Elephas maximus indicus: one gene and its partners. The protein of the gene in region 4 purifies or fractionates together with the protein of the main gene of each other region. This does not show direct contact. Links are inferred from orthologs where the notes say so. Each region holds a gene or a part of one and is shown on either strand. Other genes may lie near its edges.

The links.
Region 1: the proteins of PRPF19 (region 4) and KNSTRN purify together in Homo sapiens (affinity purification with mass spectrometry; 4 studies listed by BioGRID and IntAct, counting the BioPlex papers as one, with this or other methods). This does not show direct contact. The link is inferred for Elephas maximus indicus from reciprocal best matches to the Homo sapiens genes PRPF19 and KNSTRN.
Region 2: the proteins of PRPF19 (region 4) and SNRPA1 fractionate together in Homo sapiens (co-fractionation; 3 studies listed by BioGRID). This does not show direct contact. The link is inferred for Elephas maximus indicus from reciprocal best matches to the Homo sapiens genes PRPF19 and SNRPA1.
Region 3: the proteins of PRPF19 (region 4) and PLRG1 purify together in Homo sapiens (affinity purification with mass spectrometry; 8 studies listed by BioGRID and IntAct, counting the BioPlex papers as one, with this or other methods). This does not show direct contact. The link is inferred for Elephas maximus indicus from reciprocal best matches to the Homo sapiens genes PRPF19 and PLRG1.

What each region holds. Positions count from the first base shown.
Region 1 is NC_064828.1:15,636,010-15,643,588, forward strand, and holds the start of KNSTRN (small kinetochore-associated protein), read left to right. Parts: upstream 1-4,574; coding exon 4,575-4,783; intron 4,784-5,069; coding exon 5,070-5,164; intron 5,165-7,579. UniProt on the Homo sapiens protein: Essential component of the mitotic spindle required for faithful chromosome segregation and progression into anaphase.
Region 2 is NC_064831.1:93,106,357-93,114,276, forward strand, and holds the start of SNRPA1 (U2 small nuclear ribonucleoprotein A'), read right to left. Parts: upstream 3,012-7,920; 5' UTR 2,941-3,011; coding exon 2,859-2,940; intron 867-2,858; coding exon 719-866; intron 70-718; coding exon 1-69. UniProt on the Homo sapiens protein: Involved in pre-mRNA splicing as component of the spliceosome. Associated with sn-RNP U2, where it contributes to the binding of stem loop IV of U2 snRNA.
Region 3 is NC_064831.1:28,400,084-28,407,929, reverse strand, and holds the start of PLRG1 (pleiotropic regulator 1), read right to left. Parts: upstream 3,007-7,846; 5' UTR 2,901-3,006; coding exon 2,892-2,900; intron 1,578-2,891; coding exon 1,471-1,577; intron 457-1,470; coding exon 314-456; intron 1-313. Other genes in the region: FGB (fibrinogen beta chain), read left to right, coding at 3,673-3,693. UniProt on the Homo sapiens protein: Involved in pre-mRNA splicing as component of the spliceosome. Component of the PRP19-CDC5L complex that forms an integral part of the spliceosome and is required for activating pre-mRNA splicing.
Region 4 is NC_064825.1:124,020,332-124,027,904, forward strand, and holds the start of PRPF19 (pre-mRNA-processing factor 19), read right to left. Parts: upstream 3,014-7,573; 5' UTR 2,799-3,013; coding exon 2,780-2,798; intron 887-2,779; coding exon 737-886; intron 555-736; coding exon 478-554; intron 1-477. UniProt on the Homo sapiens protein: Ubiquitin-protein ligase which is a core component of several complexes mainly involved pre-mRNA splicing and DNA repair. Required for pre-mRNA splicing as component of the spliceosome.

The DNA of each region.
Region 1 (7,579 bases), on a different chromosome or scaffold from region 4:
ATTAGAGTCATTACTCCTTGTCCTTGAGCATAGAGAATGTGACCCAGCTGGAGCTGGGTTTACAAGGACTCACAGGGACACATCAACTGGGCCCTGAGGTATAAAGACAATAAATAGGATAATCTCAGAAAATGTCTTTTAAAGAACCTTTCACATAAGCCAGAACACAAAAGACTTTCCACTCTTACCTTTTTCTATTAACATCTAATGAATAGAAATTTGTTAGACCAATGAAGACCCTCCTGACTCTCTTTACTGAAACCTGTATCAATGATCGTTAAGAATGATGATTCAAGATACGAGATTACAGTTTCCAGTTTGTGAAAAAGTAAAGCTTTCAATGGTTTTGCTCATTTTATACCCTGTATTCTTAAGACTTGAAAAGACACGACTCCAACAACACCCTTGTCTGCTTCCCACTTTTGCCTTTTTTAAAAAATATATGAACCAGTGTAAAGACTTAAGTGGCTATTCAAGAGACAAAACAAAGACCAGTAAATAAGTATCATAAAAATAAGGAATATAGAAGTATTAAGAATTGTTTCGCTCTAGCCCTTTTACTAATTTCTATTTTAACCTTTGCTTGTGTTGTTCCTGTCTCCAGACAAGCTTATGTGTCTCGGTGTATGCCTTAATGAGTTGGTGCCTTCTCCCCGGAAGGGTAGAGTCATTTCAAGTGATTTAAAAGTTCCAGCTCCAAACGATGGTTGGTCAGAAATTTCAACCCATCACCCAAGAAGAAGAGAGGCAACAGCCTAATAAAGGGCCACTATTTTTTTTTTTATAGATACAAGGGAAACCCTGGTGGTGTAGTGGTTAATTGCTACGGCTGCTAACCAAAGGGTCGGCAGTTCGAATCTGCCAGGCGCTCCTTGGAAACTCTATGGGGCAGTTCTACTCTGTCCTATAGGGTTGCTACGAGTTGGAATCGACTCGATGGCACTAGGTTTGGTTTTGGCTTGGTTTATAGATACAAGAGAGATACAGTGATTTAACACAGACAACACAAGAGTTCCACTTCTCTAACCCTTAGGCCTCCACGCCCCCATCCAACAGGAAGCAGCTAGAGATATGGCGCCCTGTTTCCCAAGATTGAGAAACCTACAACAAAAAGGGGGAATTGAAACAGAGTGCTCAGCCATATCTTGAACAGAACCTGAGCCAATTTTTTTCCTTCTTTCTTCTTTCTCTCCTTTCCCTCCCCTAGCCCATCCCTGTCTCCAAGTAAGATCCTGATGTTAGCTCCCCAAATGGTTAAGTGTTAACCAATGTTTCCTCTAAGACTGTGGAAAACAAGTGATATTGATATAAGCCTGTCTAATAAGATGAAGGATGGCGCCAGCTACCCCCTGAGCTGATGGGATGATGGCAGGAAAACAGCAACATGTTTGAGAAAGGACCACCAAAACCAAACAGAAGAAAGAGAGTGCACATTCCACAAGTCCCTAAAACTTATAGCCCCTTTTCCCTTAAAAACCCGGAACCCATCGGTAGTCTGGTGAGACAGAGGACTTTAGGAGGAGATCATTCCCCTCTGTCTCCATACACCGGTACATCTAATAAAGTTCTTGCTACCCACCTCACCCCTGTCTCAAGAATTGGCTATTTGGGGCAGGCGGCTCTAACTCGCGAAATTGCGATAACACTTGTCACCCACCAAGAGGATTGGATAGCTTGCTAATAATGGAAATAAGGGGCATGGCACCCTTGTGGGGATGGGACCATGAATATAGGGTGTATGGAACCCTAATGAGGACATTGGTCAGTTTTGCCATACTGCTAGGCTTAAAATGAGCCATCCCAGTGGAGGGAAGGGAGGATCTCACCACCACCAAGAAAGAAAAGCCAGGAGTGGAGAATGTCATTTGAACCCAGGATCCCTATGCTAAGAAGCTCCTGGAACCAGGAGATGAGGAGAGAGAGCTGTAACACTGAAGATGGCAAGAAGCAGCAGCACAGGAATGGCTGCAACAAAGGTAGGAGGCTGGCCAGAGATGGTGTGGTGGGTTTTCCGGCTCATGGAGTGAGAAAGCTGAGCACTTTCTGGCAGGAGGCTTGCTAATAGGGTGCCTCCAGGCACTTGGTGGAACTTGGTTTGCAGACCCAGGGAGCTATAGCTGAGCGTCTTCAGGCTGATGCTTACTGGCTGAGTGGGGTACCTCTGGGCACTTATTGGGAGAACTAAAAGAGCTTTGTAACACTTGCCTGAGCTGGACAAAGGCTGGCCTAGAGCAGAGGGGCCAAAGAGAGGTGTGTCTGTGAGCACAGATGAGAAGAAACTGAACTTGAATTATAACGTGTTACTTCCCTAATAAATCCCATAACTGTGAGTATCGTTGTGAGTTCTGTGTGGCCATTGCAACAAATTTTTGAACCCAGCAGAGAAGCAGAGAGTGATGTGGGAGGAATAGTTGATGTCAGAACTGGTAAAATGTTGGAGAGGAGGTTATGTCTGACCTCTGCCTCGTAGCAATCAGTCTTGGGCTATGGATTTTGATTCTCCTCCCTTGTGAAGTTAGAGGAAGTCAGACTCCTCTACCATACAATTTTTATAACACGGAAACATTCTTTGATGGTTACCAGCAATGGGAGTGGGAGACAGGGAAAATCACTAACTAGATAGTAGAAAGGTAGTAACTTGGGTGAAGGGAAACGCAATACACAATAAAGGGGGATGTCAGCACAACATGACCAAGGCAAAGAGGATGCTGGGAGGAACGCAAGAGTAAAAGGAAACGACAGTAAATACTATTTCATACACAATCCTGCCAAAAACAGTAATAACAAACAATAATTTATGAGTAGATATATAGGGAGTAATGTAAGCTGAACAGGTGTGGGATGGTATATGGGAGTACACCCAGGAGCATATATACGTTGGGCAGAGGATATTTCTACATATGTATTTGTACTTACTACAACTATATCCATATATATAGTAGATCGCACAGGGGGCACAGTTATGAAAACTTTTTAGCCATAACCAAACACCTTGAAGGACTGGGTCACTGGACTTGAGGACTTAGGACCATATTCTTGGGGGTTATCTCGGTTAATTGGCATAGTATAGTCCACAATGTTCTACATCCTACTGTAGTGAGTAACGTCTAGGATCTTAAAAGATACAACTATTGGTCTCTTTCTGTCCAGAGCAAAGAAGAGTGAAGAAAATAAAAGTCTCAAGGAAACAGTCCAGAAGACTAATGGACCACATGAATCACAGCCTCCACTAGGCTGAGGTCAGAAGAACTAGATGGTGCCTAGCTACTACTACCTACCACTCTCATCAGGATCACAGTAGAAGATCCTGGACAGAGTGGGAGAAACATGTAAAACAAATTTGAATTAATAAAAAAGACCAGACTTACTGGTATGATTGAGACTGGTGAAACCCCAAGACTATGGCCCTTAGACACCCTTTGAAACCTGGAGCAGAATCTACTCCCAGATATCACCTTTCAGCCAAACAGTAGGCATATAAAGTGAATAATAACACCTGTGAGGAATATGCTGCTCCTTAGGACAATCAACCATATGAGACCAAAAGGGCAGCATTTGTCCAAAAACAAAGTTCAGGAGGCAGGAAGGGGCAGGAAAGATGGGCTAATGGAAACAGAGTACCCACGGAGGAAGGGGGTAGAGTGCTGTCACATTGAGGGGATTGCAAGTAATGTCACAAAACCAAATGTGTACTAATTGTTGAATGGGAAACTAATTTGCTTTGTAAACTTTCAATCAAACCACAATAAAATGTTTCAAAAAAAAAAAAAGGAGAAAACCCTATTGTTGCCCTGAGGGTTTGTATTTCTCTCCTGTATTCATTTTGTTAACTCCCACTAATCCTTCCTGAATCAAACATCACCTCAGAGAGGTCCTTCCTGATCGCCCAATTTAAACTAGATTCTGCTGCTATTCTCTCTCATAATACCTTGTACTTTTCCTTCATAGTTTTACCACAATTGGTAAATATGTACATATATTTATTTACCATTTCCTGCACTAGATTGTAAACTCAAGGGCAGACATAAGATTACTCTTGAACTTTGCTGTCCCTTCACCCAGTTAGGATAGTGGCTGTGCTCCATAGCACACAGCAAGTACTCAATAAACATTTGTTGAGTGAAATGAATAAGTGAATGCGTTAAGTGCTTGAGAACTCTGCCCCGTTATTAGAAGTAGCTTTGAATCTCTGCTTAAAATCTGGATAAATGCCATTAAAGTTAGGACTGCAGGTAGGTGCCTCAGGTATTTCAGTCCACAGGCTTTTCTCCAAGTCTCACCTGCCATTCTCCACCCTGTAACGTGAAGCTTTCTTCGAATCCAAATAACCTGTGCTCTACGTAATCAGACATCATGCAATAATATATCCTTAATAATCACAGACCAAATAATAAGGATTGTGACAACATGGACTCTCAACGTGGCCACGTTTGTGTCCCAAGCCCAGAACATGACGCGGGTGGCTCATTAGCTCCACTCAGGCCAGTAAAGTGCACCCCGCTGAGACCTGCGGGCTCCAACACCAGTGGCTGGGAAAGTCAGTCTCCCGCCTCTACTCGAATCTACCGTACAGCATGGCAGCTCCTGAAGCCATAGGCCAGGATAGTATTTTCCGTACAACATGGCTGCCTACGGAAGCCGAATCTCATTCCCTCCCGCCCAGCTACCGGAAGTTTCCATTTGAAACGGAGGCGGCGGACTCGGTCCCGGGTGCGGCAGTTACTTCAGAGCGTCTTTTGAACGAGATCGAGGAGGACTGCAGGCCGGAGCGGCGGGCTCCCGGGTTCGGCTCTCCTGGGACAAGGGATTGCGCTGAATGTGGGGGGCGGACGGAATGGGCTGGTTAACTCCCACTCATCCTTCTCGGCCTTTTGGCTAGGATCAAGTGTAAAGGTCATCCCGAAGAGGTCCTCTCTTTCCCGGCCTCTCCCCAGAGCCGGGGCTGGTCAGGTCGCGCCCGCCCCGAACCCTCGGCCCGCTTGGGCGCCCGGCTGCCGGCTAGGTCGGCGGGCCCTGCTGGGGCGGGCGGCCCAGCGCCTGATAGCTGACACCACCCTTGCATCCTCCAGGGTCCAGCCGTGCCGCCTCGTTACGATGACCAGCGTAGTTAAGACAGTGTACACTCTGCAGCCCCCCTCTGTGCTGAGCGGCGGCCTGCCCGCAGGTGGGTGTCCAACCTCGGTCCCCCTTGGGTCCCTGCAGAGCGACGTGTAGTGGTAGGGGGGTGTGTGTGCGGGGATGGGGGCACGGACCGGGGGAGTGCATTCCGTCGGCTCTAACAACCTACTCTTAAAACCAGGCTTTCTAGGTTTATGGTTGGGAGTTAGGGGAAGGGTCAAGTGGTGGGGCCTTAGACCTGCCCTGCTACCCTCCAAGACCTAACCCGTGCTGCTTAGATTCAAGCTGCTGGTTGGTCTACACTAAACCCTCGTGGCGTAGTGGTTAAGGGTTCGGCCGCGAGCTAAAAGATCGGCAGTTCGAGTCCACCAGGCGGTCCTTGGAAACCTTGTGGAGCAGTTCTGCTTTGTCTTATAGCGTCGCTATGAGTTGGAATCGACTCGTCAGTTGTGGTTTTTTTTTTTAATTCCCATTAAGCCAGGAATTGCCATTTCACGAGTTACCACTTTTATTTCCAGTGTAGACAGTCTCGAGGGCCTGGACTGTCCAGGTCGTTTGGGAAGTGGGATACTTGGTGGGGGGCGGCGGGGGGGACGGCAGGCACTAGGTTGTTGACACCATGTCATGTTTTTCACATTTATACCTTCCCAGTGTCTCTCATATAGTACTGGCTCAATAAATGTTTGTTAAGTGAAAGGAGAGAGGGATCAGCCTAGTCCCAGTATTTGAGAATAAAGAAGAGAGAGACATGATTAAAAACAACTAATTGCTTGGCCACTTGGCTTTGTTACCTTGCTTGTGGTTGAAAGTCGTTGCATAGGATCTGCAGTTGTCAGCTGCCTAATCTAGAGATTATAGCACAGAATAAGCTTCAGGCACTGGAAAACTATTGTGGGAGATGATGAAGCCGCCATTTCTGAGCCTTTCCCAGATGACTCCTTTCAGCTAGTTGATGAGCAGTAGTAGGGTTGATTGATCTGTGGGGTAAACAGGCTTTTCTCCAAGGGTTTAACAGCTTCTGTTGCCTCAGAACACCTGGGCGTTAATCCCCACGTCAGCAAGGGACTGAGGAATTGCTGGAAGACCCGAAGCCACCACATCTGCTGACCTAGCTCCGCTGTCTCCCTAGATTGCAGTGCCCCTTGCTCAGTGGGGAGTGACTAGCTCTCCCCAGCCAAGTTGGAGGTTTTCAGTGTCTTTGCTTCCTAACGTTGTCCTCCACTTCATGATCGTACATAACCTCAACAGTTAAAAATTTTTAGGCTGCCTCCCAGCTTTTTTCTTCCAATTTTGGGTATGGGTCAGTTGTTTGTGTTTTAGTTTTTGGAGTAGGTAATACATGCACATGTAAAAAAAAAATTGTTAGAGAACCATATGAAGTGAGAAACAAGTCTCCTTCCCTTCCTTGTGGATAACATAGGGCTAATTTCCAAAATGTGAAGCTAACTCATGGCCCTACTTTCCCACTTCATCATTTCAACACCAGCCACCCACATGCCCCTTTCTCTCTCTGACCCTAACCGCTCAAGAGTTGAGTCTCCACAAGTTAGGACTCTTCCTTCTAGCCTCTCTGCCAACTCTCACTAAACCCCCATTAACCCTCATGAGCTGGTTAATTCTCTAGAATGGCTCACAAAATTCATGGAGACTATTACCTGTACTTACAGTTACCCACTTATTATAACCAGACAGGACACCAGTGTAGTGACGCATCTGGCAAGCTCTGGGAGAGGCCCTGTACGCGGCCTCCCTTTTCTCCAGGCACATGTTGCTCCTCCCCTGTGCATGATGTTCTTACCAGTCCTGGAAGCCCCGAAAAGACAGCCCCAAGCCCAGGGTCCTCTAGCCGTTGGGATCTCGGTGGATATGTAGGATTGATTGTGTCTTGCCCCCTTCCTTCCTGAAATTAGTTTGCCAGGTATGGGGCCTGTGTATGTAGCCCCTACTTGCCTGGCTATTTTAAAAAACAAAGAGCACTTTAATTGCTCAGTCTGTTTTCAAAAACCATAGACAGAAAGCCAGATTTAGTTCTTTGCACCACACCTTCCACGACACCACCATCTAATTCCCCTCCTAGTGTCTCCCATTTTAAGGTAGTTGTGTTAAATCCTACAATGTTTCTCCTTCACTGCAGTGCGTGGGTTCTAGAAATATGGATTATTGGAACCAATTTGAGTCAACGATCATTTTATCGTTTTGATCGATTTACTATTAACTCATTTTTACATGGGGCTGATTTGTTATTGAGTATAACTTATTAATCCTTGGGAGCCCTGGCTGCTAACCAAAAGGCGAGGGCAGTTAGAATCCACCAGCTGCTCCTTGGAAACCCTGTGGGGCAGTTCTCTCTTCTATAGGGCTGCTATTAATTGGAATCGACTCAACAGTAACGAGTTTACTAATACTTGAGACAGGAGAAGGTAAAATATATTCCTCTAAAGTTACGTTTTACTTCAGACAG
Region 2 (7,920 bases), on a different chromosome or scaffold from region 4:
AGACTGTTGTTGGTGAGAATGAGTTCTGTCAAACAGGGGAGAGACTGATCAAGTCCCTCACCTATACGGCTAAAATAAAAATAATGGCTCTTTTAATAAAAGTGAAAAGTCAGTAGGCTAATGATTGATCTAAGTCCTTATTCCCTCCGAGGGTTTCAGACTCCAGCCTTGGAAGGAGCCGTGGGGATCCTTCTTCCAACCCCCTATCTGATGGGGAAGTGAAGCACAGGGAGGAAATCATGCTCAGGCTCTGAGGGCAATGGCACACTGGGATGACTTAGAGCCCATGCCTCCTACAGCTGCCTAGGGCTCTTTCCATTTCTACAGCTCCCAGTGAAACCTAGGAAAACGAGAGAGTCCTGAGTAAAACATACTACCAAATAGTCCTCTTCATAACTTTTCTGTGTGTGCACCACAGAAATTCACAATTCTGCATTCATAGCTCAGCTACAAGGCATACAACTATATCATAAGTGAATGGTTAATTTATGAGAAATGTGCCTATCTGAAAAAGCCAAAACCACACCACACAGTACTTCCTAAAAACGTTATCTACAGACTTTCATTAACTTTTTCCTATATTTGCACAGAGCCGAAAGACAATCAAAGAAGATTTCAGTTTAAATAAATGAGTAATATTCTAGAAATCAGGTGTAGCTAAATACAGACAGAAGAAGACACGAAGTGAGAGAGATACTCAGCCAAATCAGACACTGACCATATTCTGTTATTGTTCACCAATAATGTTTTCAGTCTTCTCAACAGAGGAAAACCATCCAGTTTCCTGATTTCATTGTCAGAAAAATCAATAGCATCAAACTGGTCTAAGGTAGCACCTAGATTTTCAATGACAGGAATTTTGTAACCTGTAAAAGGGAAGAAAAAGAGAGAAAGAAAAAACACAAAAGGTTATCACACTATCATAATTAAAATGCACCTTGTAACATTAGCAACGTTTCATGGTAATTTGACTCAAAGCTTTCATTCACTGATGAAGTGTTTACCTAGCACTTAGGATGTGCCAAACGTTGTGCTAGGTATTGGAGTTAAGATGTTGAACAAGGGAGCCACAGGCCCCGGCTGCTATGAAGCTGACAGCCTAGCAGTGGACATGGAGATGATTACGACAATGAGAATGAGGACTTACTAATAATACCAATAACTACCATTTGTAAGAATATTTACAAGGTGCTTCCCACTATTCAAGTAGCGTAAGTAGTTTTAGTCATTTTGACCCACAAGTTAAGTTTTAAGTTTTTCGTCCATTAAAAATGAGATGAAGAAATGGAGGCTCTATGATTTAATTAAGGTCCTAGAGCTAATTAAGTGGGGTAACAGGAATTTACACTTTGAGCTACCAACTATCAGTGTCCGACCCTTGTTCAAACATTGTGGACAACAGTTCTCAGCCTCTTTTGCATTAACACAGGCCAGTCCCCTAGAACTCATCATGACATCATGGTCCCTGCCCCTAACTGTAGTGATTCTGACAGGTGTGCAGTGATACTGCACTCCTGCTTTAATTTGTTTTTCTCTAATAACTAATGAAGTTGAACACCTTCTCATGTGTACTGTTCATTCCAACAACTTCTTTCACAAAGTACACAGCTCCACTTCACAGTTGTTTATACACAATGGTAAATCATACTGTGTAACAATTTGCTCAAATACTCACTGACTTGTGGGCATAATTAGGTGCTAGAAAAAAAGAAATAAACCCAGCTAGAGATTTACGGCCTTGGAAACCCTATGGGGTCACTATGAGTTGGAATCAGCTTGATGGCAGTAGTTTTTTTTTTTTTTTAGAGTTTAAGTACATAATTCAGAGCTGTTAAGAATTACACCAGAGTAGATACTGCCGTGTATATTCTCAACGACAACAATAAAACGTATTATTGTTTTTTAAAAAGGTAAGTATTGCACCAAAACAAGTATTCTCAACACTGGGAGAACTTCAGAAACAGAAGGTAGAGATCCACATGCACAAAGATAGTGGAGGTGGTGAGTTACCACTGAACTGAGCCTTTGTCTAAAGAATGGGAATTTCAACATAATGAAAGCACTGGAATTTCCCAAAAGTTCGGCAAAGAATCTAAGCAGAAAGGAGCTGAGCCAGAGCACTGATGCTCCCCCGAGGGTGTCCTGTGCGGGCAAATCTCAGACCAGGATTGGAGAATGGTGATCCCCAGAGAAGCTGCTCTTCACATCCCTTCTAAAGCCATCTCCTGAAATGCCAACTAGTTAACTCGAGCTCCCCACTTCTTGAGAAGCCTAACTAGGGGTGAAAGACCCGCAGGGATCGGAATAGGTCCACGGGCTTCTACCACGTACACCACGGGATTCAGTGAAGGGGCCAGGCCCTGCGGCGGTGGTTAGAGAGACCCCGGAGCAGGTCAAACAGTTCAACACTTTTTAAATGTTTTGACAGAAGGCAAATAAAGCTAACAAGAAGACTGGAGAAAGGGAACAGTGGCTTTGGTTCCCGAACCTTGCTTCCTTCCGCATAAACTAGGGATAACGAGCGCGCATGCGATCTATCCTAACGTATTTACTGACAAGCGATCCCGCTCGCCCTCCACCCGAGTCGGACTTGCCCGGCCCTCAGGGTCCCGACTGCCAGCCCCGCCGCACACGGCCTCACCGGGGCCCGCGGGGACGGCTCAGGACGCACCTGATTCAGCCGGGTGCGTGCGAAGAAGCGGGGTCGACGGACACCTCGGGGGAGCCTACTGCGCGGTCTGCTGGGCGGCCGCCGGGCTGTCCCAGCGCCCAGCCCGGCCTGGAGCCCAGAACGGCGGCGCACGCGGCGGGGCGCGACCGCGAGGTCTCCGTGCCGCCTGCCCGGTCCCCGGACTCACCCCGGAGGTCCAGCTCGCGGTCCCGCACGGCGTTGGTGTACTGCGCCGCCTGCTCGATCAGCTCCGCCGTCAGCTTCACCATCCTGCCGCCACCCGCTTCCCGGCGCCCCGGCCCGCTGCTTCCCGCCGACGAGATCTCCCAGCGTGCCCCGCGCCCCGCCGCCAGGCAGCACCGATCGCAGCCGGCGCATGCGCGCGCAGCTCGTCGGCCAGGCCGAAGCAATCGAGAGGCCACGCCCGCGGCTCGTTCTTTCCGAAGGTGCTGACGGGCGTTGAGGCCGTATCCGGTTTGGGGTTACTTCCTGGGGCGTAGCTGTACCATGGAGGGCTCCTGGTTCCAGGCGTTTGTGCCCCATGATCATAAGCGGATGATCCAGCTCAGGTGCTCATACTGTGTCCCGGCCCGAAGCCCAGCACCAGGACAGGGACCTTAAGCCCTGGACCCTTCCCTGAATCCCGTGGGTCCTGTCCCTCCAGCTACAGCTGGCCTCACGATATACACACTGTTCTCATGTGTATAGTGTTCTTTCCAATTGCTTCTTTCCTGAAGTGTCTATTTCCGGTCTCTCTCTCTCTCTTTTTTTTTTTGGCCCCCATTGGGTTGTCTGCCTTTTCATTATTGATTTGTGGTTTTTTTTGGCCCCCATTGGGTTGTCTGCCTTTTCATTATTGATTTGTGGGAATTCTTTATATATTCTGGATACGAGCACACTCTGTGGCGTGTCTTTTTCACTCTTAATGCTCTTTTTTGATGATGAGAAGTTTCTAACTTTTATGTAATCCAGTTTATACTGTCGTTTATGATTAGTGGGTTGTATGTGTTTTGCTTAAGAGATTTTCCTCACCCCCAACATATTTTCCTATAGCATCTACTAGAGGCTTACTTGATTTACGTTTCACATTTAGCTCTACAATCCACCTGGAATTGATTCTTTCAGAACTTTTTATTGAAGTGTGATGTACCTACAGAACAAACAGAGTACACCTAAACAGCTGACATCCAGATCAAGAAACAGGATATTACCACACCCTGGAAGCTCCCCTCTTGTCCTCTTCCAGTCACTAACTACTGTACTGGGTTGATACAGCCTCCCCCCACCATCCAGAACCTCAGAATGTCATCTCATTCAGAAGTAGGGACCTTGCAAATATAGCCAAGTTAAGATAAAGTCGTACTGGATTAGGGTTGGCTCTAAATCCAACACGACTGGAAGGAAATTTGGACACAGACACAAAAACACAGAATGCCGTGTGATGACAGAGGCCAAAATGGGAGTGATATCTATGAGCCAAGGATTGCTGGCAACTACACGGAGCTAAGAGGAGACAAGGAAGGATCCTCCCTAGAGCCTTTAGAGAGACCATGGCCCTACTAACACCTTAATTTCAGAGTTCTAGCCTTCAAAACCATGAGAGGATGAATTTTTTTTTTTGGAGAAAAATGGGTTTAGCATTTTAAATAGACGTTATTTTTAGAGATGTTTTAGGTTTACAAAAACAGGGTTCAGAAAATAATTTGAATTTACCCATCCCCTCCCCACATTGTTTCTCCTATTAATATCTTGCATTCCTGTGATATATTACAATTGGCGAACCAATACTGATACATCATTATTAACAAGTCCATAGTTCACATTAGGGGTCAGTCTTTGGGTGGCATGATCCCACAGGTTTTTAAAAATTGTGGTAAATATGCGTAACAAAATATTTGCCATTTTAACCATTTCAAAGTGTACAATTCAGTGATTTTAATTAAATCCACCATGTTGAGCAACCATCACCACTATTCATTTTCAAATGGTTTTCATCCCCCTTGTTGTTGTTGTTAGGTGCCGTCTAGTCGGTTCCGACTCATAGCGACCCTGTGCACCACAGAACGAAACACTGCCCGGTCCTGTGCCATCCTTACAATCGTTGTTATGCTTGAGCTCATTGTTGCAGCCACTGTGTCAGTCCACCTCGTTGAGGGTCTTCCTCTTTTCCGCTGACCCTGTACTCTGCCAAGCATGATGTCCTTCTCCAGGGACTGATCCCTCCTGACAACAGGTCCAAAGTATGTAAGATGCAGTCTCACCATCCTTGCCTCTAAGGAGCATTCTGGCCACACTTCTTTCCAAGACAGATTTGTTTGTTCTTTTGGCAGTCCATGGCATATTCAATATTCTTCACCAACACCACAATTCAAAGGGGTCAACTCTTCTTCGGTCTTCCTTATCCATTGTCCAGCTTTCACATGCATATGATATGATTGAAAATACCATGGCTTGGGTCAGGCGCACCTTAGTCTTCAAGGTGACATCTTTGCTCTTCAACACTTTGAAGAGGTCCTTTGCAGCAGATTTGCCCAATGCAATGCGTCTTTTGATTTCTTGACTGCTGTTTCCATGGCTGTTGACTGTGGATCCAAGTAAAAGGAAATCCTTGACAACATCAATCTTTTCTTCGTTTATCATGATGTTATTCATTGGTCCAGTTGTGAGGATTTTTGTTTTCTTTATGTTGAGGTGTAATCCATACTGAAGGCTGTGGCCTTTGACCTTCAACAGTAAGTGCTTGAAGTCCTCTTCACTTTCAGCAAGCAAGGTTGTGTCATCTGCATAACGCAGGTTGTTAATGAGTCTTCCTCCAATCCTGATGTCCCGTTCTTCTTCCAATAGTCCAGCTTCTCGTATTATTTGTTCAGCATACAGATTAAATAGGTATGATGAAAGAATACAACCCTGCCGCACACCTTTCCTGACTTTAAACCAGTCAGTATCCCCTTGTTCTGTCCGAACAACTGCCTCTTGATCTATGTAAAGGTTCCTCATGAGCACAATTAAGTTTTCTGGAATTCCCATTCTTCGCAGTGTTATCCGTAGTTTGTTATGATCCACACAGTCGAATGCCTTTGCATAGTCAATAAGACACAGGTAAACATCCTTCTGGTATTCTCTGCTTTCAGCCAGGATCCATCTGACATCAGCAATGATATCCCTGGTTCCATGTCCTCTTCTGAAACCAGCCTGAATTTCTGGCAGTTCTCTGTCGATATACTGCTGCAGCTGTTTTTGAATGATCTTCAGCAAAATTTTGCTTGCATGTGATATTAATGATATTGTTCTATAATTTCCACATTCGGGTGGATCACCTTTCTTGGGAATAGGCATAAATATGGATCTCTTCCAGTCAGTTGGCCAGGAAGCTGTCTTCCATATTTCTTGGCATAGACGAGTGAGCACCTCCAGCGCTGCATCTGTTTGTTGAAACATCTCAATTGATATTCCATCAATTCCTGGAGCCTTGTTTTTCACCCATGCCTTCAGAGCAGCTTGGACTTCTTCTTTTAGTACCATCGGTTCCTGATCATATGTGACCTCTTGAAATGTTTGAATATTGACTAATTCTTTTTGGTGTAATGACTCTGTGTATTCCTTCCATCCCCCTACCCATTTTCAAATGGTTTTCATCTCCCTAAGCAGAAACTGCAGCCCAAGTGGTGCAGTGGTTAAGTGTGTGGCTACTAACCAAAAGGTCCGTGGTTCAAACCTACTAGCTGCTTCTTTTGAGAAAGATGTGGCAGTCGGCTTCTGTAAAGATTTATGGCCTTGGAAACCCTATGAGGTAGTTCTACTCTGTCTTACATGCTTGGCATTTCTCAAGCTGAAAGAACTGAAGAAAAAATTCAAGTTGTGAGTTGCAATGTTGAAGGATTCTTTGGGGAAAATATTAAACAATGCAGGAAGCATCAAAAGAAAATGGAAGGAATACACAGTCACTGTACCAAAAATAATTGGTCGACGTTCCACCATTTCAGGAGGTAGCATATGATCAAGAACTAATGGTACTGAAGGAAGAGGTCCAAGCTGCCCTGAAGGCACTGGCGGAAAACAAAGCTCCAGGAACTGACAGAATACCAATTGAGATATTTCAACAAACAGATGCAGAGCTGGAGGTGTTCATTCATCTATGCCAAGGAGTTTGGAAGACAGCTACCTGGCCAAACAACTACAAGACTTGATCCATATTTGTGCTCATCCCAAACAAAGCTGATCCAACAGAATCCAGAAATTACCAAACAGTATCATTAATATCACACGCAAGTAAAATTTTGCTGAAGATCATTCAAAAGCAGTTGAACAGTACATCAGGAGGAAACTGCCAGAAATTCAAGCCAGGTTCAGAAGAGGACATGGAAGGAGGGATAGCACTGCTGATGTCACCTGGATCCTGGCTAAAAGCAGAGAACACCAGAAAAAAGATGTTTACCTGTGTTTTATTGACTATGCAAAGGCATTGTTGGACTGTGTGGATCATAACAAATTATGGACAACATTTCAGAGAATGGGAATTCCAGAACACTTAATTGTGCTCATGAGGAACCTGTACTTAGACCAAGAGGTAGTCATTTAACAGGACAAGGGGATACTGCATGGTTTAAACTCAAGAAAGGTGTGTGTTAGGGTTTTATCCTTTCACAATATTTATTCAGTCTGTATGCTGAGCAGATAATCTGAGAATCTGGACTATCTGAAGAAAAATGTGGCGTCAGCATTGTAGGAAGACTCATTAACAACCTTCGATATGCAACTGATACAACCTGGCTTCCTGAACGTGAAGAGGACTTGAAGCACTTACTGATGAAGATCAAAGACCACAGCCTTCAGTGTGGATTACGCCTCAACATAAAGAAAGCAAAACTCCTCGCAACTGGACCAACGAGCAACATCACGATAAATGGAGAAAAGATGGAAGTTGTCAAGGACTTCATTTTCCTTGGATCCACAATCAATGCTCATGGGAGCAGCAGTAAAGAAATCAAGTGACGTATTGCACTGGGCAAATCTGCTGCAAAAGATCTCTTTAAAGTGTTAGAAATCAAAGATGTCACTTCAAGGACTAAGGTGAACTTGACCCAAGCCATGGTGTTTTCACTTGCCTCATACACATGTGAAAGCTGGACAATGAGTAAGGAAGACTAAAGAAGAATTGATGCCTTTGAATTATGGTGCTGGCAAGAATATTGACTATTGCATGGGCTGCCAAAAGAACAAACAAATCTGTCTTGGAAGAAGTACAGTTC
Region 3 (7,846 bases), on a different chromosome or scaffold from region 4:
GGTCTCTTCATAGTTTAGGACTATTCTCCAGATTTTTCCTTTGGTCTCCACTGTGACCTTCTCCACAACTTCAAAATGTCTGCCATTACTATACTACCACTTTCACTTCCTATAAGAGAGAAACCACCAACTGATAATCTCAATCACTAGTCTCATGATGAAATCAAGATTTTCAGTATAATTCTAATATAGCCATTAAATACTGGATGGCTTCAATTAGTTCTTCTACAAGGAGTGCTAACAAGACATCTTATTTTTCTAGTTTAAAAAAAAACATTTCGATTCCTGGTATTTCTGGTAACACCATACTCACCTTGATTGGCAGGATATTGTTTGTTGCCATATGAATCTGCTGCATTTTGAAGGGCCTTCTCTTTAAAATTTTCTTTTGAAGTAGGCATATGCAACACAGGGCCATACTCATTACGAAGCTTGATTCCCATCTTTCGTTTGTGACTATTTAAAAAGTATAAATGTAGAACATATTTTTAAATAATTTAAATATATTCACCACTGCAAATGTTTATAGCTAGCCTGAGAACAAGTACTTAAATAACTTAAGTTTGCCTAGCCATGTAGAAAAAGTTTCTATTAAGATTTTAAATAAATACCATTTTAACTTTAACTTCAAAAATTTCTAAGTGCATTTCCATATCATGTTTACTTTTGCTCACATTCTACCACATAGCATCCATGAAGTCTAAGCAGTATTTTAGCTTGTTACCTAATACAAACTCTTTCATGTTGAGATACCAAGAGTCCAATTGATCTAAAAATATATGAAAAAAAATATAGAGACTGATAAATTCTTTCCAGTGTAAAAATACAGTAAAAGCTTCTATAACAATTTTTATTGGATTTATCTAAAGTTAGTTAGAACTAATCAAAGTACTTAATTAGTTCAACATTTTAAAGAGAAGCACACTTGTATTATTTTTAAGTATAGTCTACTTTATAAATCGAACATAAATGCTTGTCTGAGGAATTAAGATTCTAAACGAAGGGTAGGACAAAGAAGGAACACTGCACATAATGCAATCCCAGACTGGAGCTGGAGATGTAGAACCAAAAATATGCCATCACTCAAAAATCTTCATCATACTAACGAGAAAAGGTGGGAGGAGAGGTACTGGCCAGGTACAATTTCAGCTCAGCAAGGCTCTGAGAGCAGCGGGAAGCTGAAAGCACATACAAAGTGATTTGATTATAAAATAAAACACCTGAAAGGGGCTCTCCTAATTACTGGGTATTTGCGAAATGCAATTAATTAATGAGATTTTTACTGTGAACAGTAAGGCCAAAAAAAAAAGTTATATCAGCTTAAATTATGCTACAGCAACACTCATTACTGCGGAGCTACCTTATGACTGTTAGTATTACTAATTAATCTTTAAAGGATTAAATAGTCCCCTTCTTCCCCAAATGTTAGAAGTTTAAAAATTGTAGCAATTGAAAAAAAACTATGCCTACCTCTCTTCATCCAAAGGCACAGGTTTTCCATTATCAGCTACAAACATGTCATGGGTCCTCTTCAATGACCTGAACACAAGTGTGTGCACAGAATGTTTCTGTACCTCCTGAAAAGAAAGAGTGCAAATGTAGCTACAAATTACTCACCACTGCTTTAACCACTCACCACTGCTCCCAGTAGCAAGCTGTAAGAGTCAAGTTTAGAAAAGAGGAGGAAGCTGCTCTTTGGCTAGAGTCCCAGGTACATTAACTGAGCAAAGCCTGAGATTAGTAATTTATTCAGTGCACACTATGTGTCTGGCAGGCACTGCGCTAAAACCTATCAAAAGAATGATGAAAAGAGTCAAGCTCCCTTTGCTCAAGGACAAAGAGAGAAATAAAAATAAGCAAAATAGTCCCACATTTTTATTACTGCTATGAAAGTAACAAGCAAGGGCTGAGACACAAAAAGGAGAAGGGAAATTACGCAGGATGGTTAGGAAAGGTCTCTCTGAGGTGACATTTAAGCAGAGGCTGAGTTACCCTGCAGAGGGGAGGTAAGGACAATTTGGACAGATGGAAGCCCTCACGTACAAAGATGCTCAGTAACTGCAATAATGCCAGGAGCTCCAGGGCAGTTGTGTGTGTGCGTTAGGCGAGAGGGTGGGTCTTGTTGCAAAATGAGGTTGCAAGAATAGGCAAAGTCCAGATCAGGTAAGGTCTTTTAAAACCATTACAATAATCCGTATTCTTGTCCTAGTGGTAACATAAGGCCAGCAAAGGGTTTTTACCAAGGAAGGCGTGACCAACTTACGTTTTAAAGAGATCAATTTAGGGGGCACAAACATGGAAGCAAGGAGACCAGCTGGGAGCTAATGCAGCAGTCCAGGCAAAAGATGATGTTGGCCTGAATGAAGGTGATTGCGACGCGTATGGAGAAAAGTGGAGAGAGTCGAACTATTTCTGAGACAAGGTAGACAAGACCTGCTAACAGAATAGGTATTCAATCTAGGAAAAGATGTGAAAACTCAAGAATGGCAGGTTTTCCTGGGGGAAGAGCTGCGATAAGAGACCAACTGGAACCAAGATACAAAACAACAGCAGTCTTTAAGGATCCAGAATTACTGGCACTCCCCTGCGAGCGGCGACTACCAGTGGTCGAACATCAACAGAAGCCTCACCTACGGGGACAGGGCGCAGCTCCTAAGGGCCAATTGAGGACTGAATAAATTATCTCAGGCTTCCCGCCTCAAACTCGTGCTCTCATCCCGCCTCTTCCCTCCCCGAAAACCTTAAGAAGAGACCACCCGGCCTCGGCAAAACAGCCTCCCCTCGCAGCCTCTCTCGCCCCAGATTCCCAACACACGCTATCACCCACGCCCGCCGCCAGAGAAAAGCAGTTCAGAGCCAAACGACTCCTCAGCGCCTAGGTGTCACTCTACCTCGACCATGATGCTGCCGTGAAATCCGCCTCTCCGGCAGGAACGGTACACTAATCACCAACGCAAAGGCCGCCGCCACAACTGTGCAGCCCCTTCCGCAATCGCGCGCCCTGGCGCCGGATATGACGTAATTGTGCGCAGGCGCGCTGGTTGTCCGTAGGTGGTCTTGGGCACGAGGGGCGGGCCTTTCTCCTCGGGGCCGCCTCTGGGGGCGGAGTCTCGGGACAGAGCGCCAGAGGCTCCTCGAGGAGCGTGGCTGCGTTTGTCTTGTCTCTAGAACTGTTGAAATGAGCATGTTTTCTGTCTTATCCGCCGCTTTAAATGTTTTGCATTGGCGCCGTAGTTGTTTGCACTGTATTGCTCGGCAACTAAATGCTTTTTATTCAGAGAGCTTATGAAATCAGCTTTAGTGAGGGTCTGGAAAGCGAAGATTTCCCAGTCGGCGCTAAGACTCCTCTAAGGTCTCCCCTCTTTGGGGTTCGCCTCCGCGCTTTATGTCCCTAATCCCACTACCTTGCTGAAGCCTTTAGTCGCCGCCCACTACCTGGCTGGAAGAGTTTAGTCGCCGTTGTAGCCTGAAACAGTCCCGCTTACACCGTCCACTAAAACGGTTAATGAGTCGATGTCGCTGAGTAATTGTCTCCGTTTGAAAAATTTTGAGGGAAGTGATATGTGAAGGAATTTTGCGTTAGGAAGATCTGACAAAACCCCGAATTTATTTTCTGTTAGATAAATAGGTTTTTTAAAGAAGTCTCTCAAAACTGCGTAACTCCTGTTTCTGATGAATGTGACTTCAGCAAAGGTAGGTACAGCTTTTCAAAGCTGATGGAAGAAGATTGAAGACTTAAACCATTTTTATTTTTATAAACACATTGGTGCCAAAGTATTGATATTTTTGGCTTGCTTTTTACGCAGATAGAATCTGCAGTTATCAATCCTGTTCAATTATTTTCATATGTGAAAAGGAAAATCGATGGAGCTGGTTATTTGCAAACTTAACTCGACATTTGACTGGCTCTGTTTCTTAACCATAATGAGTTCCACTGATGGTGTCTACGGAGCATACTACATATTCTTTGAGAGGAAAAAAAAAAAACCCAAAATGGTACCAAAAGTATAGCAATTTTTAAATTTTATTTAAAAATGCTTTAATTTTTCATTCATTGAAACATCAAGGTCATGATTTTACTTGAAAAAACAATCATCTACAAATTTGAGTGTGAGTTTGGCCTAAGAACTAATTTTCTGTAAAAATAGTCACTGATGGTGGGCCTTCCAAGAACTGCCATAATTATAAATTATACTCTTTGGAAATTAAATCATACTGTAACTTACCCTGATGACCCAGTGGTTAAGCACTTGGCTGCTAAACAAAAGGTCGGTGGTTCAAATCCATCAGCCCCTCTTTCGGAGAAAGATGTGGTAGCCTCCTTCTGTAAAGATTCAAAACCAAAAACTAAACCCATTGTCATTGAGTTGACTGCAATGTATAGCAACCTATAGGACAGGGTAGAACTGCCCCCATAGGGTTTCCAAGGCTGTAAATTTTATGGAAGCAGACTGCCACATCTTTCTCCCTAGGAGCAGCTGGTAGGTTCAAACCACTGGCCTTTCAGTTAGCAGCTGAGCTCTAAACAACTACGCCACCAGGGCTTCTTCAGTAAAGTTTATCATTAGGTGCTGTCTAGTCAATTCTGACTCATAGCAACCCTCCATACAACAGAATGAAACACTGCCTGATCCTGTGCCTTCCTCGCAATCGTTATGCTTGAGCCCGTCGTTGCAGCCAGTGTGCCGATTCATCTTGTTGAGGGCCTTTCTCTTTTTCTCTGACCCTCTACTCTACCAAGCATGATGTCCTTCTCCAGGGACTGGTCCCTGCTGATAACATGTCCAAAGTATGTGAGACATAGTCCTGCCATTCTCTCTTCTAAGGAGCATTCTGGCTGTACTTCTTCCAAGATGGATTTGTTTGGTCACATGGCAGTCCATGGTATATTCAGTATTCTTCACCAACACCATAATTCAAAGGTGTCAGTTCTTCTTCAGTCTTCGTTATTCATTGTCCAGCTTTCACATGTATATGAGGTGATAGAAAACACCATGGCTTGGGTCAAGCGCACCTTAATCTTCATGGTGACATCTTTGCTTTTTAACACTTTAAAGAGGTCTTTTGCAGCAGATTTGCCCAACGCAATGTGTCATTTGATTTCTCAACTGGTACTTTCACGGGTGTTGATTGTAGATCAAGTAAAATGAAATCCTTGACAACTTCAGTCTTCTCTGTTTATCGTAATGTTGCTCGTTGGTCCAGTTGTGAGGGTTTTTATTTTCTCAATGTTGAGGTATAATCCATACTGAAGGCTGTGGTCTTTGATCTCCATTGGTAAGTGCTTCAAGTCCTCTTCACTTTCAGCAATCAAGGTTGTCTCATCTGCATAATGCAGGTTGTTAATGAGTCTTCCTCCAACCCTGATGCCTTGTTCTTATTCATATAGTACAGCTTGCAGATTATTTGTTCAGCATACACACTGAATAAGTATGATGAAAGGATACGACCCTAACACACACCTTTCCTGACTTTAAACCACAAAGTATATCCCCTTGTTCTCTTTGAATGACTGCCTCTTGATCTCTGTACAGTTTCCTCATGAGCACAATAAAGTGTTCTGGAGTTCCCATTCTTCAAAATGTTATCCATAATTTGTCATGATCCATACAGTTGAATGCCTTTGCACAGTCAATAAAACACAGGTAAACATCCTTCTGGTATTCTCTGCTTTCAGCCAGGATCCATCTGACATCAGCAATGATATCCCTGGTTCCACGTCCTCTTCTGAATCCAGCTTGAATTTCAGTACTGCTGCAGCCGCTTTTGAATGATCTTCAGCAAAAATTTACTTGTGTGTTTTATTAATGTTATTGTTTGATAATTTCCACATTTGGTTGGATCATCTTTCTTTCGAATAGGTGTAAATATAGATCTCTTCAGTCAGTTGGCCGGGTAGCTATCTCCCAAATTTCTTGGCATGAACAAGTGAATACTTCCAGTGCCGCATCCATTTGTTGAAACACCTCAATTGGTATTTCCTCATTCTTGAAGCCTTGTTTTTCACCAATGCCTTCAGTGCAGCTTGGATCTCTTCCTTCAGTACTATTGGTTCCTGATCATATGCTACCTCCTGAAATGGTTGAACGTTGACCAATTTTTTTTTTTTTTTTTTTTGGTACAATGACTCTGTGTCTTCCTTCCATCTTCTTGTGATGCTTCCTGAGTCATTTAATATTTTCCCTGTAGAATCCTTCAATATTGCAACTTGAGGCTTGAATTTTTTTTTCAGTTCTTTCAGCTGGAGAAATGCCAAGCATGTTCTTACCTTTGGTTTTCTAACTCCAAGTCTTTGCATCTGCCATTATAATATATTACTTTGTCTTCTTGAGCCTCTCTTTGAAATCTTCTGTTCAGCTCTTCTATTTCATTTCTTCCATTTACTTTAGCAAGAGCAAGTCTCAAAGTGTATTCTGACATCCATTTTGGTCTTTCCTTTTTGTCTTTTTTAATGATCTTTTGCTTTCTTCAAAAGAAGATTGGACATCAAGTCCGTGATGTCCAATCTGTGAAGTTTATAGCCTTGAAAATCCTATGGTACAGTTCTATTCTGTCCTATAGTAATCACTGTCAGTCGGAATCGACTTGATGGAAATTTTTTTTTCTTATAGATAGCAATAACTATACTAAAGAATGTGATTTTAAATGGCAATAAAGCCATAGAGATGAAAACAAGTTTCTAACATATGGCAACTATATAGTTGAGAGGCACCCTGGTGGAACAATGCTTAAGTGCTCAGCTGCTAACCGAAAGTTGGTGGTTGGAACCCACCTAGCTGCTTGGTAGCAGAAAGACCTGCTGATCTGCTCCTGTAAAGATTGCGACCTAGGAAACCCTATAGGGCAGTCCTGCTCTGTCATATGGGATCACTATGAGTTGAAAAAGGACTCAACAGCACCTAACAACAACATCCAGTTGAGCCTATTAACTTTTTAGGTCTTTAATCACCCTGGCAACATTTTATTTATAATCCCGGGCTCATAAACACACTGTAATGATAGAGGTAAATTGCATTATGTTCTAGTGAAAAGATTGGAAGTTCCAACCCATGTAGAGGCAGCTCAGAAGATAGCCCTAGCAGTCTGCTTCTGAAAAACCTATGGAGCTCAGTGCTACTCTGGGTTGGAACTGATTCAATGGCAAGTAACAACAACACTTTTTTTTTTTATGAGTGTAAGCTCTCTTAAGAACCCTGGTAGTGCAGTGGTTAAGTGCTCGGCTGCTAACCGAAAGGTCAGCAGTTGGAACCCGACTGCCGCTCTGTGGGAGAACGATGTGGCAGTCTGCTGCTGTAAAGATTATCATTTTAGAAGCCCTATAGAGCTCTGTCTTATAGGGTCGATATGAGACGCAGTCGACTCGAGGGCATTGGGTTTTGTTTGATTTTATAAGTTCTCTTTGAATCTACAAAATTATATCGGCCTCTTGAATATTTTAGATGAATAGATAGATTGAACTCAAAACCCAAACCCAAACCCATTGTTGTTGAGTTGATTCTGACGCATAGCGACCCTGTAGGACAGAGTAGAACTGCCCCATGAGGTTTCCAGGAAGCAGCTGGTGGATTCAAACTGTTGACCTTGTGTTTCGCAGCCGAGCTCCTAGTTCAGGAATCCTTGAATCACCTGCAACTGTATGCAAATTTTGCATTTATATAAGAATGTAATTTTTTTCTCCCACAGGGAAGGGATCTGTAGGTTTCATTGGATTTGTAGAGGGGTCCGGAAAAGCTTAAGACTCCTGGCCCTAACATCCAGAGCTGCTTTATTGGAGCAGTAGGTGTCACTCCTGCTCTTCATAAGGGCTGAGAGGATTTTCCTTGAGGAAATTAGTATTTAATTAGCA
Region 4 (7,573 bases):
GAACAATAACCGCTGCTATTTATCATTGCCCTCATTGTGTCAGGCCCTGTGCCAGATGGTCCCTCAAGATGCATTCACTCAGATTTACAGAACACCTACTATGTATCAGGTGCTGCCCTCAGTGCTGGGGATACACTGATGAATAAAACAAGACCCTGATGTCATGAGGTTTATACTCTATAATTGTATCGTAACCCTCCCAAAATCCTGAAAGATAAAATACTAAAATCTCCACCATACAGTCACGAAAACCAGGACTCAGAGTGTGGGCAACTTGCTGGAGGTCACATGGCTAGTAAGCAATGAAGCTAAGTTTGAAACTCAGACCTGTGTGACTTTTACACCCAGGTGCCTCCTCCCATATCATTCTGCCCCTCGAAAAAGATGACGATGCTCCAGCCTTCCCACTCCCTAGTCCCAGTCCAGGGATCCATCTCTTCAAGTGGGGAAGACATTGGTTCCCTCTGGGGAACTCACCCACTCATCCTGCAGAGCTTTCAGAATGGCCGGGATGCTGGTGGCTGAGGGAGGCTTGGGCCGGATTGGGTGAGCAACTGCCGAGAGGGAAAGTGGTATGAAGAACCCTAACCCAGCAGCCTCTTACCGTTCCCCACCTCTTTCCCCCTCAGCCTGAATTAACAGACCACCATCGCCTCTTCCAATGCAAAGGCACCACCTCCCACCCTCTCAGCCTCTGAACTGAGGCAGCTCTGGCCTGAGGCTGACCAGTGGGCACCTTTGATGTCGATCAGCTGCTCCTCAGACAGAGGCTGGTTGTTGATGGGGTCTGTGCCGTTCTCCGCAATGTACTTCTCAATGAGCCTCCGCTCATAGACATGATTGGAGACAGGGGACACACACGGGTGCTCTGGCACTTCATTGGAGACTGCAGGGAAAAGGCAGGCAGTGAGCGTGGGGTCAAAGGGAAGCCTGGACCAAAGAAACCCCTCACCCGCTACTGGCCCCAATAAGGCCACATGTCCTCACACTGAACCAAAAGGAAACAAGACCTGTGTCCCCAAGCCAGTTTTGTACTGTCCCCAGAATGCTTTCCAGTGACATAAGGAGCTTCTCCATCAGCAGTCTCCTGATAGTCAGGTTTTCGACAAATATTCACCGCAGAGCTACAACATGCCAGGCACCCTAGGGAGTAGTCAATAATCCCTGCCCATCTCATTTTTAAACAAAACTGGTGGTTGTTGTCGTGGCGGTGTGCCATCAAGTTGATTCCGATTCATAGTAACCCTACAGGACAGAGAAGAACTGCCCCATAGGGCAGTTTCCAAGACTGTAATTTTTATGGAAGCAGACTGCCACAGAACAGCTGGTGGGATTGAACAGCCAATCTTTCAATTAGTAGTTGAGCGCTTAACCACTGTGCCACCAAGGCTCCTTACAAAAATAGCTAGGCATCCATTATACTCCAGGAGATGGAGACATGTATGAAGCCACTCAAATCCCTGCTGTCCATCTCAGTCTAGAGCCCTAGGTAGGTTATCGAAGAAGATACAAAGCAACGAGACAAGTACTATAATAATAAAAAACATTTATGTGGGGTTTGCTAGGTGCCATGCATGATTCTGAACATTTTACATAATCTCATCATCATTTACACACCTGCCCTGAGTAGACGGTGTGCCCTAGAGAAGAGGGATTACAGCTGGTCTCTGACTCCCAGTAGGTGCACATCCCAAAGACGAAGGAATGAATGCATGGGAGGAAGGACGGTGCTGGAGCACACAGAACAGAGCTCTTTCAAGGGTCAAAGAAAACACTGGATGTGAAAATACTTTGCAATTTCTTCAATGTAATTATAATTCCCTCCGTGTAAGGTATTCCTTTTCCTGCCCATTTCCCTTTTTACTACCCTTCTTTGGATTTAAGGGAGAGGTTCAGGAAAGAGAGGATGGCTTAAAGGTAGGAAGCAAAGAGAGAAAGGGGTGGGAAACTGGTAACCTGATGAAAAGATGAGAAAAGAAAATGGGAGCATGACACAATAAAACACCAAAAGGAAAGGCAGTATAAGGCATGGAAAAGCATGGATTTGGGGTCGGGGAACCTGACTGTCACCCCGCACTGCCACTTACTAGCTGTGGAACCTTAGCTAACACTCATCCTGGGCTTCCCTTCCTCACCTGTAAAGCTAGGGTCTTTATTTCTGCTTCGGGAAATTCTTGTGAGGATAAAATGAGATCACAGACTTGGAAGCACTGCTGGAAACCATGAAGGGCCTCATAAATAAGCACTGTTTTTATTCGTGCTACAGTGTGAGAGAGACCTGGCTTCCAGCCCTGTCTCTGCCTCTAACTCACTGTGTGACCTTCGCAAACTCCAGAAGCTCCGACTGCCCAAGCGCGACCTCAGACAGCATCCAGTGCAAAGTCCTCATTTTGAAGATGGGGAAACTAAGGCCCAGAGAGGGGTCGATCACAAAGCTAATCGGAGGCGAATTCTGAACGAGCCCTCGGCTCCCCTGGCTCCTACGCTAGAGAGGCTTCCCCTGCACCAACTCCCTCTGTCCAAGCCTCTGTAAAACCAAATGGTTGGCCCCAAGGAGCCCTGAGACGACAAATCTGAGGCGCTGTGTAAACTGCGAAGCTCTGCGCAAATGGACCCCGCGCGGAGGACGGAAGGTTCCCGGTGCTGACAGGCCGCCGCTCTATCGCCCGGGAGCCCCGTTCCCGCCTCCTCCAGAAGCCGGTGTCTCAGCAGCTGGCGCATTCTCCCGCTCCGCTCTCCAGCCTCCTGCAACCCACGATCGGCCGCAGGCGCTACTCACTTGAGCAGATCAGAGACATGGCGCCGTCACTGCGCTCCGAGGCGCCTCACACCGGGCTCCGTGACTGGCTTCGGAGCCGCCGCGGGCCACTTCCGGTTCCCCGCTGCTTCCGGACGCTCCGCAGCGAGCGGGGAGCACCCCGCCGAGCTCTGGTAGCGTAGTGCTTCACGTGGGTCTGGGGCAGGTGGCGCGCCGCAGCCTTCAGCAACTAACGGAAACTGCCCCTTCCCAGAATGCAACCGGGCAGGAAAGGGCCCGCCACAGAACACTCGGCTATTTCCGGATTAACTCGTCTCCTTCCGTAAAGTGCCCCAGGGAAAAGGCGGCGTAAAACTACATTTCCCATGATGCAGTGGGACCGTTACATCCAATGTGTTCCTGCACTCCTTTTGAGACGCGGTAGTGTCTGTGTTTTCCGAATTTTAATGTGCACAAGAATCTCTTAACGAGCTTATTAAAATGCAGATTTCTAGGGTCTGTCCTAGAGAGTCTGCATTTTAATTTAGCGCCCAATAAAATTGAGGCTGGTGTTTCTCGGGCCGCCCTTTGAGAAAATACATGCTGGGGGAATCCGATGAAAATGCAGATGAGTAGGGGAACTAACAATGATCAAAAAACGGTTTTAGTACTACTTCTGTTACCAATTTGCTCTGTGACCTTAGGCAAGTCACTAGTTTCTCTGCCGGTTTTCTACATGACTTCTAGGTTGCTTCCAGCTCAGGTAGTGTAAGATTCTTCGTTGACCTCTGTAAGATAAGATATACTCAGGAAAGATGTAGAGAACGTGCGCCGACTCGTGTGGGCTACGAGGGAAGACAGCAGGACGGGTAGATGTGGTCACTGAAGTCTTCCCTGAAAAGGCGTGAATGAGCTGGGCTTTGACAAACGGGCAATATTCAGAGAAAGGAGAAAGAAGTGAAGGGTATTCTAGAAGGAACAGCATGAGCAAAGACGGAGAGAAGAACAAAAGTTGCAGATATAGGGCAGTAGGGTATAGCGGCCAAATGCATGGACTCTGAAGCCAGACTGCTGAAATCCCAACTCCATCCAGCTAGTATGCTGTGTGAACTTCTCTAAGTTGTTTCCTCATTTGTAAAATCGGGGAAGTGAAAACAAGGGTAGAACTAAGTTATAGAGTTTTTTTGTGATGAGTTAACAAACAGCACTTTGAACTAACCCTGGAACATAGTAAGTACAGTATACATATTCATGTTTGTCATTATCTCAAAAGCCAGCAAGATTGCCCAAGCTCCCCTGAACTGATAAAATAGCTTCCTAGTAGCATCTGGGATCTTAAAAGCTTACCAGCTGCCATCTAAACCCATTGCTAATCTAAGATACAATTATTAGTCTCTTCCTGTCTGGAACAAAAGAGAGTGAAGAAAACCAAAGGCTCAAGGAAGCAATTAGTCCAAAGGACTAACGGACAACATGAACCACAACTTACACGACCCTGAGACCAGGAGAACTGGATGGTGCCCAGCTACCACTACCAACCACTCTGACTGGGATCACAACAGAGAGAGGGTCCTGGACAGAGCCGGAGAAAAATGTAGAACAAAAAATCAAAATTCACAGAAAAGACCAGACTTACTGGTCTGACAAGAGACTGGAGGCACCCTTCTGACCTGAAACTGAAGCCATCCCTGGAGATCACCTTCCAGCCAAGCAATAGACAAGCCCATAAAATAAACAATAGTATCTGAGAGGAATGTGCTCCATAGAACAATCCATTATATGAGATCAAAGGGCAATATTTGCCCTAAAGCAGAGATGAGAAGGCAGAAAGGGATAGAAAATCAGGATGAAAGGTATCGGGGAAACCAGGGTGGAAATGGGGAGAGTGCTGACACGTTGTGGGAAATAAAACTAAGGCCATAAAACACTTTATGTACGAACCAGCAGATGGGAATCTAATTTACTCTGTAAACTTTCACCCTAATGCACAATTAAAAAAAAAAAAAAAACTTCCTGATTGACCTTGTTTCCAGACTGGCCTCCCTCTAATCCACTTTCCACAAAGCAGCCAGTGATCTACTTTCAGTGAAAAATCTATTTATGCTACTCCTCAGGCATTTAATTCGTTCAACATATATTGATTGGGGTGTGTCAAGCTCTGTTCTGATCATTGCAGATACAAATGAATGAACAAAATGACAAGGTTCCTGCTCTTATGGCTGTTTAATTTTATGGAGAGCATGCAGAAAATCAACACCTAAGAAGATAATTCCAGAGAGTGGTTGTTGTTCTTGGTTGCCATCGAGTTGATTCCGTCTCATGGCGACCCCATGTGTTACAGAGTAGAGCTGCTCCATAGGGGTTTTTTTGTTTGTTTGTTTTGCTGTAATCTTAACAGAAACAGATCACCAGGTCTATCTTCTGCAGCACCACTGGGTGGGTTTGAACTGCCAATCTTTAGGTTAGCAGTGGAGTGCGAACCATTTGCACCACCTGGGGACCTGGAGAGTGGTAAGCACCATGAATAAAACAAATCAGAATAAGGTGAATAGTAGCTGCTGGGCATCGGAGGGAGGACTTCTTTATGCAGGATATTTAGGGAGGGTGTCTCTAAGGGGGTGACATTTTTACTGAGACCCGAATGAGGGAAAGCAGTCAGTCCCAAGACCAGGAATGAGTGACTCTGGCAGAAGAAACTTGCTCCCAAGCCCTGTGCCATCTGGCCCAGGCTGACCTCCACAGTCTCTCCAGCCACACTGGTCTTTTAAATCCTCAAATTTACCCACCCTTGCTTAGAACACTTTCCTCAAATCCTTCCCTTCTTCCCCTCCCCCCAATGCCCTCCAATGTAAACTTCAGTCCCACCTTAGATGTCACTTCCTCAGGAGGCCTTTTCTTTAATATCAGGCCAAGGTTTAGCCCCCATAAACCAGTTGCCAGTGAGTCAATTGTGACTCATGGAGACCCCATGTGTATCAGAGTAGAACTGTTTTCCATAAGGTTATCAATAGCTATGATCTTTTGGAAGTAGATTGCCAGGCCTTTCTTCTGAGGTGCCTCTGGATGGATTTGAACCACCAACCTTTCTGTTAGTAGCTGAGTGCTTAATTGTTTGCACCACCCGGGGCTCCTTTAGTCCCCATAAACCCAACCCAACCCATTGCTGTCAAGTCGATTCCAACTCATAGCGACCCTATACGACAGAGTAGAACTGCCCCATAGAGTTTCCAAGGAGTGCCTAGTGGACTCAAACTGACAACCTTTTGGTTAGTAGCTGTAGCACTTAACCACTATCCCACCGGGGTTTCCTTATCAGCCTCTAATTCTCCTCTGAGCCACTTGAGATAACTATAATCATTTAACTATTTATAATTATCTGTCTGATGTCTGGATTCTCCATAGCCTGTAAGATCTGTGATGACAGGAACCAGGGTGTCCTGTTCTCTGTTGTTCCCTGAGTCTAACAGTGCCTGGCACATAGTAGGCTTGGCACATAGCAGGGGCTTCATAAATACTATCGGTTGAATGACAGGCTGCCTGGCGGGCCAGGCGTCTCAAGTACTTAGATTTGGTAGGAAATAAAGTGGGTTAGTAAGTGGTTAGACTTGTGGGCTTGGCAGCAGAACAACATCTGATTGCATTTGAGCTACCAAGTGACCTAAAGATAACCACATTTCCAGAAGTTTCCTCTGAAAGGCACTTACTAGATGGGTTGGAAGGGGACAAACTGGAGAGGAAAACACATTCATTCCTTTAACGGACAAATCTTTATTGAGCACCCACTGTGTGCCAGGCAAGAGACATCCCTACACTGGGGAGCTTATGGCTGTGACATCAGAACACAGGAAAAAAGGAGTCCCTTCAAAGCTTTCAGAGCCCTGGTGGTACAGTGGTTAAAGTGCTCTGCTGCTAACCAAAAGGTTGGCAGTTTGAACCCACCAGCTGCTCCACGGGAGAAAGATGTGGCAGTCTGCTTCCATAAAGATTACAGCCTTGGAAACCCTATGGAGCAGTTTCACCCTGTCCTATAAGGTCAGAATGAGTCAGAATCTATTCAACGGCAACGGGTTTTGACTATACTATATGGCAATGGGAACGGGGTTATATGCCAAAGGGCTTTTTCAAGGCTTTTGGGTTTCAAAAGCCAGCCCCATGGGAAATAGAAGGAATTCAGGGAATAGACAATTGACTTAAATATCATGGGTAAGTGCTTGATCTCCACACCACCACCACCCACTTTGTCCTCCCCACAAAGGAGACAGGTATTCCCTAGTCTGAAAACGGAGCTTTAGAGGGAAAGAGAGAGACTCATAGCTGTTGGTAGGTCCCTAAGAAAGGAATCCTGATCCCTGTTCTTCAGGCCAAGGCTGTTGCTGCTCCTTGGAAAAGGTAAGTTCACATTGGCCAATAACCCAGAAGAAGGCTGGGCTCCATTTCCCAGGTAGACTCAGTGGCAACCTGTGTAGACAAATGAGAGGACGATGGAAGCCTCAGGAATTGACAACTGGATGCACACCTAGGGTCATATGAGCCTCCCCCTCCCCTTTGGCCATATGCTAATCTTCCAAAACGTGTGCACAGCATGAAAATCGGGGATGGGAAAAGTTCTAAACTGTCTGAGATTATTTCCACTCTACCCCAATGGAAAAGAGAGTTGAAAAGAAATTAATTTTTCCTAGGAAGAAAGAAGTTACATTTCTTGCACAGGAAAATCTGTGACCTGAGATTTAGGTAGTCCTACAAAGCAGCTGAAAGAACCGAAGAAAAAAGTCAAGCCTCGAGTTGCAATATTGAAGGATTCTATGGGGAAAATATTGAATGAAGCAGGAAGCATCA